Linked DNA regions of Arabidopsis thaliana. The protein of the gene in region 1 interacts with the protein of each later gene in a pairwise test. Each region holds a gene or a part of one and is shown on either strand. Other genes may lie near its edges.

The links.
Region 2: the proteins of AT3G63380 (region 1) and PLC2 interact in a protein complementation assay, tested with the Arabidopsis thaliana proteins (one large-scale study listed by BioGRID).

The regions. Positions count from the first base shown.
Region 1 is NC_003074.8:23,405,968-23,412,359, forward strand, and holds AT3G63380 (ATPase E1-E2 type family protein / haloacid dehalogenase-like hydrolase family protein), read right to left. Parts: upstream 4,394-6,392; 5' UTR 4,247-4,393; coding exon 1,145-4,246; 3' UTR 517-1,144; downstream 1-516. Other genes in the region: AT3G63390 (uncharacterized protein), read right to left, coding at 5,449-5,976. UniProt on the Arabidopsis thaliana protein: This magnesium-dependent enzyme catalyzes the hydrolysis of ATP coupled with the translocation of calcium from the cytosol out of the cell or into organelles.
Region 2 is NC_003074.8:2,581,837-2,587,611, forward strand, and holds PLC2 (phospholipase C 2), read right to left. Parts: upstream 4,063-5,775; 5' UTR 3,721-4,062; coding exon 3,421-3,720; intron 2,913-3,420; coding exon 2,716-2,912; intron 2,628-2,715; coding exon 2,492-2,627; intron 2,406-2,491; coding exon 2,169-2,405; intron 2,089-2,168; coding exon 1,865-2,088; intron 1,777-1,864; coding exon 1,659-1,776; intron 1,516-1,658; coding exon 1,363-1,515; intron 1,281-1,362; coding exon 1,194-1,280; intron 1,084-1,193; coding exon 790-1,083; 3' UTR 526-789; downstream 1-525. Other genes in the region: AT3G08505 (zinc finger (CCCH-type/C3HC4-type RING finger) family protein), read right to left, coding at 1-74, 197-207; AT3G08520 (Ribosomal protein L41 family), read left to right, coding at 4,196-4,207, 4,305-4,370; AT3G08530 (Clathrin, heavy chain), read right to left, coding at 5,335-5,490, 5,589-5,699. UniProt on the Arabidopsis thaliana protein: The production of the second messenger molecules diacylglycerol (DAG) and inositol 1,4,5-trisphosphate (IP3) is mediated by activated phosphatidylinositol-specific phospholipase C enzymes.

The sequences.
Region 1 (6,392 bases):
ATAAGTATCTATAGCGCCTCTTAAACCACAAAGCATCACCTCTGTCTTCTCTCATCTCCTTTCTGTATTCTCTTTCATTGCCTTCACGTCTGTTGCAATTTCTCCACTTCTTGAGCTTCCGTTTTTTACAATTATTGATCCGTCAAATATGTGAGATTTGCACAACTTGTTGCTCAGGTATTTTGAAGACAAGTCCACAAGGGAACAAGTGAAGCTGCCAGCATGATCTATCTTTGGTTAAGAGATGAATGTGGAAACATATTGCTTAAACCCAAGCTAGGTCATGCTCTGACAGCCTCACTCCTTCCTGGTTTAGGACCATTCATTGATGAAGCATTCCACATGCCGATTGAAAGAAAAATAAGAGTCCCGAACGCACACAGTTGACTACACGAAACCGGTGTAAGGCTCTCTGTTTTCTCCCTGCTTTGACACACTCTCCACTTTATTTTTCTCATGTTTTTGCGCTCTAGATCTATCATAGGTGCATCATGTTTTAGTGTTTCAAAGAACTTAGACTGTGCAAAGCCAAACGTTTTAATAAAAAGGAAAACAGTTTAATACCAAAATGGTGTCTCTCACTCAATTACAAGACAAAGTATACCTTTCACAAGTTTGACCAAAACGAACTACTATAACCCTTATTTCAAGACAGTGTACTTCTAGCATACATACTTAGTTTAAAATGTACAGACGACGTAGCTTTAAAATGTACAGACAGTGTAATTTACCCTTGACACTGCTGTAAGTAAATAAACCAAAATTACACTTTACTATTCACCAATGGCTACCCCAAAGCTCAAATTCACAATTCTTTTTCCTTTATTTTCCTAAGCCATCAACATAACATTTTGAACCAATTTAGTAGTGTCGTGTTATGTTTCCATAGACGTGAACTGAAAAGCCAACTTGTTGCAGCAGTTTGAAAGAACTTTGAAGCCAGTGAACATAACCTCGTGTTCCACGACTCTTTTGATCAGAAGCAGAAGCATCTCTTGGTGGGGAACCATCAAGGTTTCAGATTTGACCCTTTTGATCGTTCAAGGGAGCTGGAAGTTATCTTATCAGACGAGTCCCACTCTGTGCTCCTGATCATCAATTATCCAGCCATCCGTAGAGAACTGCATCTGCTATGGTAGGCTTCTCAAGGTTTCTTGAGAGATGGGCTTCTTGAACCCTTAAATAAGGATCTTGGATTCTTAAAGTAACTGAGGAATGGTGTCTCAGAAACAGGTATGAATTTTGTGAAAAAGCCGATCGGCCATGAAAGGGATGCAAGTGCTATGCAAGTTCCCCATTGCCACCCGTTAAGCCTTACTGTATCCGCAAACTTCTTTAGGAATTCCACCATAATGACTTGAAGCACAATAGTTATCGCTATTATTCCAATGAACAACCTGTTTCTGTGAAGGCCTTTGAACACATTTTTCTTCTCCATCTCCCTCGCATTGAATTCGTTAAAAACTTGACAGAGCACGAAAGTGTTGAATATGAGCGTGTCCTTCACTTCCTTGCGAACACTGAATATTGACATACCCTTGAATTGTAAGATCAAGAGTACGGCTATTTGATATAATGACTGAACCAGGAGATTCCTCCACATGACATTTGTTATCAGGGCCTCTGTTCGGCCAACTGGCTTTCTCTTCAGGAGCTCGTTAGTGGGTCGCTCCGTGGCGAGAGCCAGAGCTCCCAATGTGTCCATGATGAGGTTTACCCACAGCAGTTGAACTGCTGTCAAAGGGACCTCACCGGCTGAAATTGCTGCGATAAAATTGATCACAAGAGCTGCAACGTTCACTGTTAGCTGAAACTGAATGAATTTCTGGATATTGTTGTAGACACACCTTCCCCATTTTAAGACTGTGGCAACGGATGCGAAGTTATCATCTAGAATTACAATGTCTGAGCTTTCTTTTGCCACTTCAGTGCCCTGAATTCCCATAGAGAGTCCAATATCTGCTTCTTTTAGTGCAGGTGCATCGTTGGTGCCATCCCCTGTGACGGCTACCACATGGCCTTTAAGTCTCAGACACTTGACCATTAGAAGCTTGTCGGAGGGAGAGGACCTTGCCATGACCCGGATCTTATCAACTTTCTGCATTCTCTCTTCGTCCGTATAATTTCTGAATTGAACACCTTCTACAACAGCATCTTCTTCATCTTTGTCATTGTGGTCGAGGATTCCGCATTCAAAAGCGATAGCTTTTGCAGTGAAAACATTATCTCCCGTTATCATCTTAATGGTGACTCCTGCAAGTTTGCAAGTTTCCACAGCTTTTGAGACACCAGGTCGACAAGGATCTTTCAGACCCACTATTCCCATCAAGGTCAAGCCATCTTCCTCTAATACCGAGTCATTTGACGCTATTTTATGAGCGAATGCTATGCATCTGAGGCTACTGGCCGCCATACCTTGGATTATTGCCTGAATTCTGCTCTTTGCGGTGGAGTCCATTAAGTCAACAGACCCAGTGCTTGTGTAGTAGTGAGAACACATAGCTAGGACCATTTCAGCGGCTCCTTTCCAGTGTACATGGACTGTATTGTCAGATTTTCTTCGGACCAAAACTCCGCTTCTTTTCTTTGCTGAACTGAAAGTTTCAACGCGGAGAACTTCATGTTTCTGCTTTACTGACTCCATATCCATACCCAGATTTAGCACAGTCCAAGACAAGAGGGCCTTCTCTGTTGGACTGCCTGAGAACTCAGGCGTTGATCCTGAGTCTGACACACAGACACTTCCCGTTGTGTTCAGACCGGTGCCTTGGTAAAGCAGATCAAGAACGTCTGGTGAGATCATTTTGGTAGAGTCTTCATGGATTGACTCTTGGCCAAGCCAAAACTTGGTAACCTTCATCTCGTTCAGTGTTAAAGTACCTGTTTTGTCTGTGCATATCACTGTCGCTGAGCCCATCGTCTCGCATGCCGAGAGCTTTCTGACCATAGCTTGATCAGACATCATTCTCTTCATGGAGTAAGCCAGCGTCAGAGTCACAGCCAATGGCAAGCCTTCTGGGATAGCTACTACGACAATGGTTACTGCAGCTGCCACGATTCGCACAACGGAATTGACCACAGTGTCCACAGGTGTTTTGCTCCCGTTGTATTCTCTTTTGCCCTCTTTCTCTGTGTTCCCAGTGAAGTAACGGACTAATAGAACTACCAGAACAAGTGCTGCCACCGTAAGACCAATTTTTCCGATGGTGGAGGTCAGCGTGTCAAGACGGACTTGCAAAGGTGTTCTCTCGCTGGAATCTTGATTTATGGAGCTCATCGTCTGTCCCCAGGTTGTACTCATACCCACAGAGACAACGAGCATTTGAGCAAACCCATCGACTATCTTTGTCCCTGAGAACAAGAAGGGATTATCCTTGTGGTCCACTTCAAGATGGTCACTCTCTCCTGTCATACTAGACTCGTCCACCTGAAGTGAATGCCCTTCCAAGAACAGACCATCAGCGGGAATCTGATCTCCGATCTTCAAGAAGACAACATCACCAACAACAACGTCAAAGATGGAGATATGTTGCCGCCTGCTGTCCCGAAGGACTTCCACTTTGATGTTATTGCTTATCTTGGACAGCTTGTCGAACTGTCTCTCCTGCCTAAAGTTGCTGAGAGCAGAGACAACTATGACCAAGAAGACTGCTACAAAGATGCTTCCGCCTTCATACCAACCTTCTTTGATGCCATGTTCTTTGATACCGAAGCCAAGGGAGAAAATAGCGCAGACCAACAAGATCAAGATGGTTAGGTCTTTGAAAGCTTCATACACAAAGAAGAGAAGTCCTTTAGGCGGTGGCTTATGGTAGGTGTTAGAGCCAAAGAGGTCACGGCGTCTACTGACTTCTTGCTCATTCCCGTGGATCCCTTTGGTGGGGTTAGTCCTAAGGGAAGCGGCGACACCCTCCACGCCGCCCAGCGCTTGGATGCCCGGTAAGTCCTTACCCTTCATGATCTCCACAAGTTGTTCTTGATCAATGGCAGGAACGTAAGAGAGAGGCATAGAGTTGATCTTTGCTCCCTCACCGGACTCGAGGGCTGTGTAGGAGAGAGAGAGAGAGGCATCTGAGGTTTTGGGATCAATCCTTGCGGGAACTATCTCCTTAACAAGAGAGAGCATAGCCCTCATAGAGTAGATGGCAGCGTAGGCAAAACGCCAACGCCTCTGGGCCTTGTTGAGGCTGGAGGTGGTAAGGTTGAGCAAAAGTGCACTGTAATCATATTCCTTGAGGTCCCTCATGCTTTATTTGTGTGAAAGAAAGAGAGTTTTTAGAAGGAAAAGAGTCTCGCTCTCTCTCAACTAAATGTGGTGTTACTTGTAAGACACTTAAGACTCGCAAAGAATGATTTCTCTCTCTCTAATACCCTAAGCTTCGTGGTACTATTTAAATCCGTATTGGCCGCCTTTTGATTGCTATTTATCTGCTTTAAAATATTAAATATCTCGTGTAAAGTAACTTGTCCTAGTTTAATATTTTCAGGCGGTGGAACCACTCAGAAACGTTGTAAACACGAAGTCATGTCGATCAAAGGACATGGGCCGCACATCCTTTTGTACTTGTGTTTTGACTTATCTGTTGTCTCGTGTTTCGGTTTGGAACCACTGTGCCCTAAAAGAGAGAGTTAATCTGAGATTTTGGTAGTAATTTCTAAAGCAGCCGTATGATGTAATGGTGTGGACAAGCCGTCATTGTAGAATGAGGAGGAATAGCGTGCGTGTACCAACTTGCTTAGTCCGCACGGACAAATGAAAAGAAATGGCGAATATAGTAAAGCGAAAGAAGAAAAAAAGGATTTAGATTGAATCTTCCACACCAACTTGGTTTGGTATAATATCTATCAAGTGAAATTTATACTACTCAAACTCAAAATCCGTCTACTTTTCCACAAATCTATGTTTAGAAATAATAAAATGGAGCAGCGTGTACGACGAAGGCATTATGAGTTTGATCACCGAAACTTCATAGCACTTTCCATTTTCGCTGTCATCTCTTTCTTTGTTCATGTGACGACAGCAAGACATAAAAGCAGTTGACTTTATTTTTATAAACAAACAAAATAAGTTGACCTCCACTAAAACTAGACGTGAGGTGAGACCAGATTTGGCATAAAATTCCGATACAAGCGATGAAGTGAATGTCGAGAAACTCCTCAAATCATATACATACATACACAGAGATGCTCAGTGACATACATTAGATCACGAGTTACTGTATGTGGATAAGAAAGAAACAAGAGTGTTTGCACCAAAAGCAGTAGCAAGCTTAACAAAATCCCAACCAACAAATACAATGGCTTGCTCGAGAATAAATAGACTAACCATCATCTTATGAAACTAAACAATGGTTCAGGAATAAGTAGAAGGGAAGATTACAACTAATTAAGCTCACTCATAACGGTAACTAGTAATAACAAAGCTCTCAGCATGCAACAAATTAAGAGCTATGGTTTAAGAAGAAGATCCCTGGCTGTGCAGCAGCAGTTGTTGGTGTGCAGACGCAGTGAACCACCAAGCCCCATGAGATCCCTCCACCTGCTTTCCTCCGGCATTGAAGCTAGCCACACCAATCCCTCAACCTCCTTGTCCTTGGCGATTCGCGCATCTAAAAAGGCACCAGAGCACTTGTCTTTGGCGAAAGCAGCGCACTTGCCCTTGGCGGCAGCCACACAGCCCTCGAATTCCCGCTCTTCGCACTTCTCTCGTTCCCTCATGTCACCACCAGATCCCCGCCACCACGGCGGCTTACAGTTGTTGGAGGCGGAGACGGCGCACCCAATTTTAGCACCTTCCTCGCACTGGTCCTTGATTAGGGTTTCGCAACGCTTGAAAGCGGCTGACCATGAATCCAGTGATCGGAAAGCTAGAACATAAGAACCACCGGAGGGTACAGGTCCCCGGAGCAGCGGAATCGGACGGTCGAACACAACGGTAGTCGCAGCCGCCGAGAAATCATCGTCATCTTCCATCATTTCAATTTCTCTTCAAAGGCCCATCGGGCTTTTGATTGAGGCCATCCACCTATATTTATTTAATTAATTAAGTTTGGGGGATCCAAAACATAATTAGTATAACGATACTACTACTAACCGACTGGACTAGATTATTCTACTTGATATATCCTCTCGAGAACTATTGCTGCCGCTACTCGTTTCATATCTCCGTCTCCGGCTCGATCCGCCAAGTAGAGTAAGCAGGTATCTCCGAGCATCTTGACATCGCTTCTTTCCTGCTTCTGTTTCCTTTGACCTTATTACAGAGGGAGGACTCATCATTCTTCTTTCTCTTCTACTTTTTTTCATGTTTATTTTGGGGTTTAGGGTTTTAGAAGTTTGATCGATCTGTTATTATAACTTTGGTTTCAATCGATCTGGGTGTCCATTTGCTT
Region 2 (5,775 bases), about 21 Mb from region 1:
CCTTAGAGTCATGGGAAAATTCGCAATTTTCGCCTTTCAAGCACGAGCCATGGACAAAGAACTTGCACAGTATCCTACAAAAAAGAAATCAAATGAATCATCGTCCCCAGAAACGAAAGAATCAATCTTTATCACCAATCAAAGAGACACAAAATTGAAGAGTTTGATGAATCGAGAAGTTGGGGGATTACGATACCTATCGGACATTTGGGGATTTGTGCGGAGAGAAGAAAAAAAAGGGTGGAAGAATGGAGAAGGAAGAGAGAGCTTTATGTGAAGAAATTGAATTTGTACGGTTTTCAATTGTTGAGGACCAAGCAGACCCCAACGTTTTTGAGATAGAGCGCGCTTCCTCCACCTCCACCACCACCTCTCTCTTTCATTTACTAAAATATCCTTTCTCTTTTCTTTTTGGCCAATTTTGTTTTATGGGGTGTGATTGGTTATGTTTATGGAAATTCGATCAGTTTTATGTGATACATAAGAAAATTCTTTGAAGCCTTCTTGGTGGAATGGAATCAAACAAGTTTTAAAACACACTTGTTACACAAAAACCACAAATCATCATACGATTCAAGTGTTACACGAGACTACTACATAATAATACAACAACACACGATACAAGACCGTCTCTCTCTCTCTCACTTTCGTCTTTTATGTACATAATATTACAAACAACAAATCAAGCATACATTCTCTCTCACACATACAAATCCTCCAAATTCACAAACTCTGTGGCACTCAAACCTACCAGACAAGTTTAAATGCTGTATCTTTCTTAATCATGTCTCACACAAACTCCACCTTCACGAGAAGCTTAACGGATTTGTACTTCTCTCCTTTCCGGCTATGTAAAGGAAATGCTCTTATTCCTTCGCTTAGCTCCCAAACCGGTAAGCATGTCTGTCCTCCAAAATCATCTTTCTCTGACATGTCATACTCATGCACTTCTAATCGTAGCAGGGCCAGCTCTGGAACGGTTAATGGGAACTCAAACACCTCATCCCAAGCTGGTATCCAATTATCCTCCAGTGTTTTCGTCTTCTTCATTACTGTATCCCCTGGAACTCCAGCTATCCCAACCTGAATATGCATCAAAAGCTCAAATTGTTATATTGCAAGCATAAGAGACAAGAAACAGTTCTATCTCAAAACATTTGTGTGAGGTTTAAGGCAGGGAATCAAAAATTGACCCTTGTATAGAAGTCAGGCGGTGAATATTGGTCAAAGTGTGTGTGGCGGAAATCAAAGTACCAGCCTTCTCCCATGTATACAGTTACCTAAGGGAAAGAATAAGTTCACTGAGTTTGATCGGATTTGAATTGGTAAAAGAAAGACCAACCAGAGAATCAGATATCTCACCCTAAGTGTTGTTTTCACAGGTAGAGTAGCTTTTGGGTCAAATATGTCACTATCCGAACCACTTTTCAGCAGAAGGTCAGGTTTCTTGATGTAGCCACATCCGCCATTGGCTCTAAACATTCCCTGCATTAGCCACAATGATCTTCCATACCCCTGTACATGGAAAAAGATCACAATCAAATCAGCTGAGGAATAAGGTTGATGTCCTGTAAAATGATGGAACATAGCTCCTCCAAAATAACTAGAAGTTTTACTACTACGTAGAAAGAAGTTGGTAATATAGCAGAAGGAGATACCTGCATATTGAAAGCCACCATTTGAGCACCGTGGCTCCAGCCAACCAACGGGTTGTAATTTGATGATGTGACTCTAGTTCCTTTTGGGTATATCCTCAGCAAATTGTGCTGAGTAAACCTGCGCCACACCATGATTAACAGGATTCATATTGAGTTGACAAACTGCAACTATTACTTAGAAACATAAAAACATAATATGACTATACCTCACAATCTGCTTCGCATATTTTTCTGCTGCCTTTTCAAGTTGTTCTTCGCTTAAGCTAAGGCGTCTAACCTTGTCAGGATCTACCTTTAAACACTCAGTAATTCCGCCTTTTGGTTTCCCAGCATGGATTGCAATCAAATGTTTATACTGGGGTGGTGCATTAATCTTAGACTTGTCTTCATCATCATCATCGTCATCATCATCATTTCCATCTAAGTCATCCTGCAACAAGAAAGAAAACTAACATGTTTGTCCATGAACAGCAACAGAACAGAATGAAAATGATTTGTCTTCGTACACACCTTAGCTTCACTTTTGTTCCTCTGAATAAAGCTCGGAACTTCTCTTCCCCAAACTTCTTCATCCCCCAAGTCTTTACCTTTCTGCACCACTTCCACATCTTTTCCTTCCTTGTACTCTTTTGGGGGTTTGGTTGAGATGATAATACGTCTTTTTAAAGAGTTTGGCGATGGGAACTCCTTCAAAGATTCTCCCACAGGAGGAGTAAACAGAATTTCCCCAAATATCTCAGTAACCATCTATCATACAACAAGAAAACACATCTCAAAACCAATGTACTCATCTATTAAAGCAGCAAAGAAAGAAATGCAAAATAAAAAGCTACCTCAGCAACTTTAGACTGAAGATCTGGAGTAAGATGATCTTCAAGAGTTACAACAACAGGATAGTCAGATACATCAAAGGCATGTGCTCTGATAGCTTTGAGACATTTGATCAACCCCACAGGTGTAGTGAGAGTCCTGTTTAAGAATGGTTCAGTAAACAAGTTAAACGCCAAGCACCTAACCTTGACTTGTTTTTCGAAATAAATTTGAAGCAAAATTATACATTCCGTGAAGAACATCAATATCGTCTTTGTTGGAATTGGGCCATATATCCAATTCAATGACTCTAACACCTTTCTTCAACGCATCAATAATAGGTACCTCACTACAGTCACTGCTCAGCTGATTACCAGTCAGATAAGAATTATGACCAGTGAATATGAAATAATGCGATATAGGAGCATCCATGTCATGATGCACCTGAAACACCACAAATTCATTAGAGATAAGTCTATAATCAATCTGAAAATAAAAGCTAGCACAATTGAGTCACAATTACATGTATAGCCGGAATTGTAAAAATATTAATTACTTGTATCATGGATTTTTGTGTCAGAGTTCCTAATAGAGTAAATGTCACATTCCTAGATATGTTACTTTCTCAACTTTTTTTTTTTTTTTGAGACATAAAAAGAAAAACAATTCTATTGCTTCAAATTCTTGAATCAGACTTATTCCACAACACCTAAAAAGTACATAGCTCCTACGACTTTCTACCAAACAGCAGCTTCGAAGTTCGAACTCTTGATTAGACTCAGTGAAACATTCAAACAAATTATTCCAAAAATCTCACTTCCTCACACCATTTCCTCAATTACCAAACAAGGAAAACGAAAAATCCCAATCCAAAATCTGAGTTTCTTATATCAATCAATCATAGTTTACTTCAGATTCTGAACTCATAAAATCGAAATAACACGAAAATTACCTTATGGAGAGCAAGAGGAGGGTTATTATCACCAAAGAGGTACTTGAAGAAAGCATCAAGATGGAGACCATTACGATGAAGAAGAGAAGATGCAGAATTGATAATTGACTGTGCATCTTCTCTGGTGGCTTTATCTTGTTTCTGAACATCGATCAGAAACCTGTGGAGATGATCAACGGTCATAACTCCATTCTCTGAGTACTTTTCGAAAATGGTCTTGATCTCACGCGGTGCCTCCGATGCAGTGTAACGAAACCTCCGGCGAAAGCAGAAACACACTTTGTACGTTTGCTTCGACATGAAGTAAAGAAAAAGACGGATCTTTGGGTAATGATTGGAGACGATGATGAAGGAATGAAGTAGGGTTTGTGTGTTATATAATCAGAACTATCTTCTCATTGTTTTTGAAATCAGACAAGCGAGATCAGAATCGTCGTTTTGCGTGTCGCATCTGCAAAGACAAAGAGATTTTTTTCCTTTCTTTCTAGTGAATCTCCTCCATGTAATGTTTAATCGATCTTGAACCTTGTCGGAAAAAGATCTTCTTTCTCTCTCTGTGCGAATATCCCCTCTGGCAAATTCTTATCCATTTGGGTTTTATTGGGCTTTTGAAATAATAAAGCCCATTAAGTTAGTTACTAGGGTTTTGTTGTTGTTTAAAGGAGGAATAAGAGCGTAAGCTACAAAATCTTTCTATTCATCTCCGCCGCTCCTCATCCTGTAAAGCTAAACAAATAATCAGAGGAACGAAGGAGACAGCTTCTGCGAAATCAGCATGAGAGCCAAGGTTAGTAATGGGTTTTGATTGTTTAATGGATTTTTTAGTGATGAGAAATTGAAGTAGTGTGTAGGATCTTTATGGTTTGTGTGTTTGTGTGTTGCAGTGGAAGAAGAAGCGTATGAGGAGATTGAAGAGGAAGAGACGAAAGATGAGACAGCGATCTAAGTAGATTCGGGAGTTTGTTTTGTCTTTCTTCTTTTTAGAACCAACTCTTATGTGAGTTTTGTTGGTTTTGCAATTTTCAATTTGAATGTTTTGTTGGACCAAATCGAATCTATGTTTTCTATTAGAATTATGTTTATTACATGGAATGATCCTTATGAGTTACTGATTCTCCTTAAAGTTCTTCAATCTGCTTATCATTTTGGTTTAATTGATTATCTATAGTTAGTGTCTGCGCTGGATGAGTTTTATCCTGGTGAAGGTTGAACTTTTGATATTAGAAATACCAAGTGAATTTGTATGTCATCTAAGTATACTAATAAAAACAAAGTATGTTGGGTTGATTGAATCTTTCTATCCAGAACGTTTTCTTAGTAATGTAGCAGAAATGTGTGTTTACGGAGGGATGCAATTTTTAGTTCATGATGTTCAGATGACTATTGGTACTTAGGTTTTTATGTGTACATGTGAAATAAACCTACCCTAAGATTTCATTATTATTTCATGAAAATGAGATTCACGTTGCATCTATGTCTTTCTGATGCTGATGAATGATGATGATTGTTCTGAGGTCAACCAAATTCTCATGAAGGATTTATTTAGTCCTTCTCGATATTAATTGTTTCATATATGAATAACAACAAGGTGAAACTGATCAACGGTTTAATAAATCGAAAGTCGAATGGAATGAAATGCTGAAGGAAAGTACAACTACAAAACTCATATGAGTAAGAGAGTTGAGTATATATACTCAAAAATGGCTTTTGACAAAAAGTTAAAAAAAAATTACTCACCTAAACCCAACAGAATATTACAACGAAAGGAGGTTATTATCCACATTATTCCCAGACAAATTCTGGTCAGACATATAAGCTAGCTAGCAGATGAACACCGCCCTAGCAAATTGGGCCGACTCTATGCGCTACTGATACTTTTCCAAATGCGGATATTAAAGCATAAGCTGGTCTGCTTTAGTAGCCGCCCATCGGTGGCATTCCATATGGTGGCATGGGAGGCATTCCTGGCATACCGCCCATTTGTGGTGGAGGACCATACCCACCACCACCTCCCATTCCTGGCATCGGTGGTGCAGGTAAAGCAAGTGGCAACATTTGGGCATACATGTTCTGTTTAAAAACAAAAGAAAAACATATTACTCCTTTAAGTGTATCTGTCAAGATAAAGAGTCGGATGATATCCAGTGTAGCTGTGTCATAAGTAGTACCTGTTGGGATATGACATCCTTCTCTTCCTGCTCTTTGGCCTTCACCTCTTTTTGTGCCTCAAGCTTGTCCTTTATTAGCTCATCCACTTTGCCAGAGTACTCTCGGATAAACTGCAAAGAAAAAACGACAGGAAGAAGAGAATTCATCATAGCGTTCAAATAATGGTTCCAACCTCATTGAGCAGAG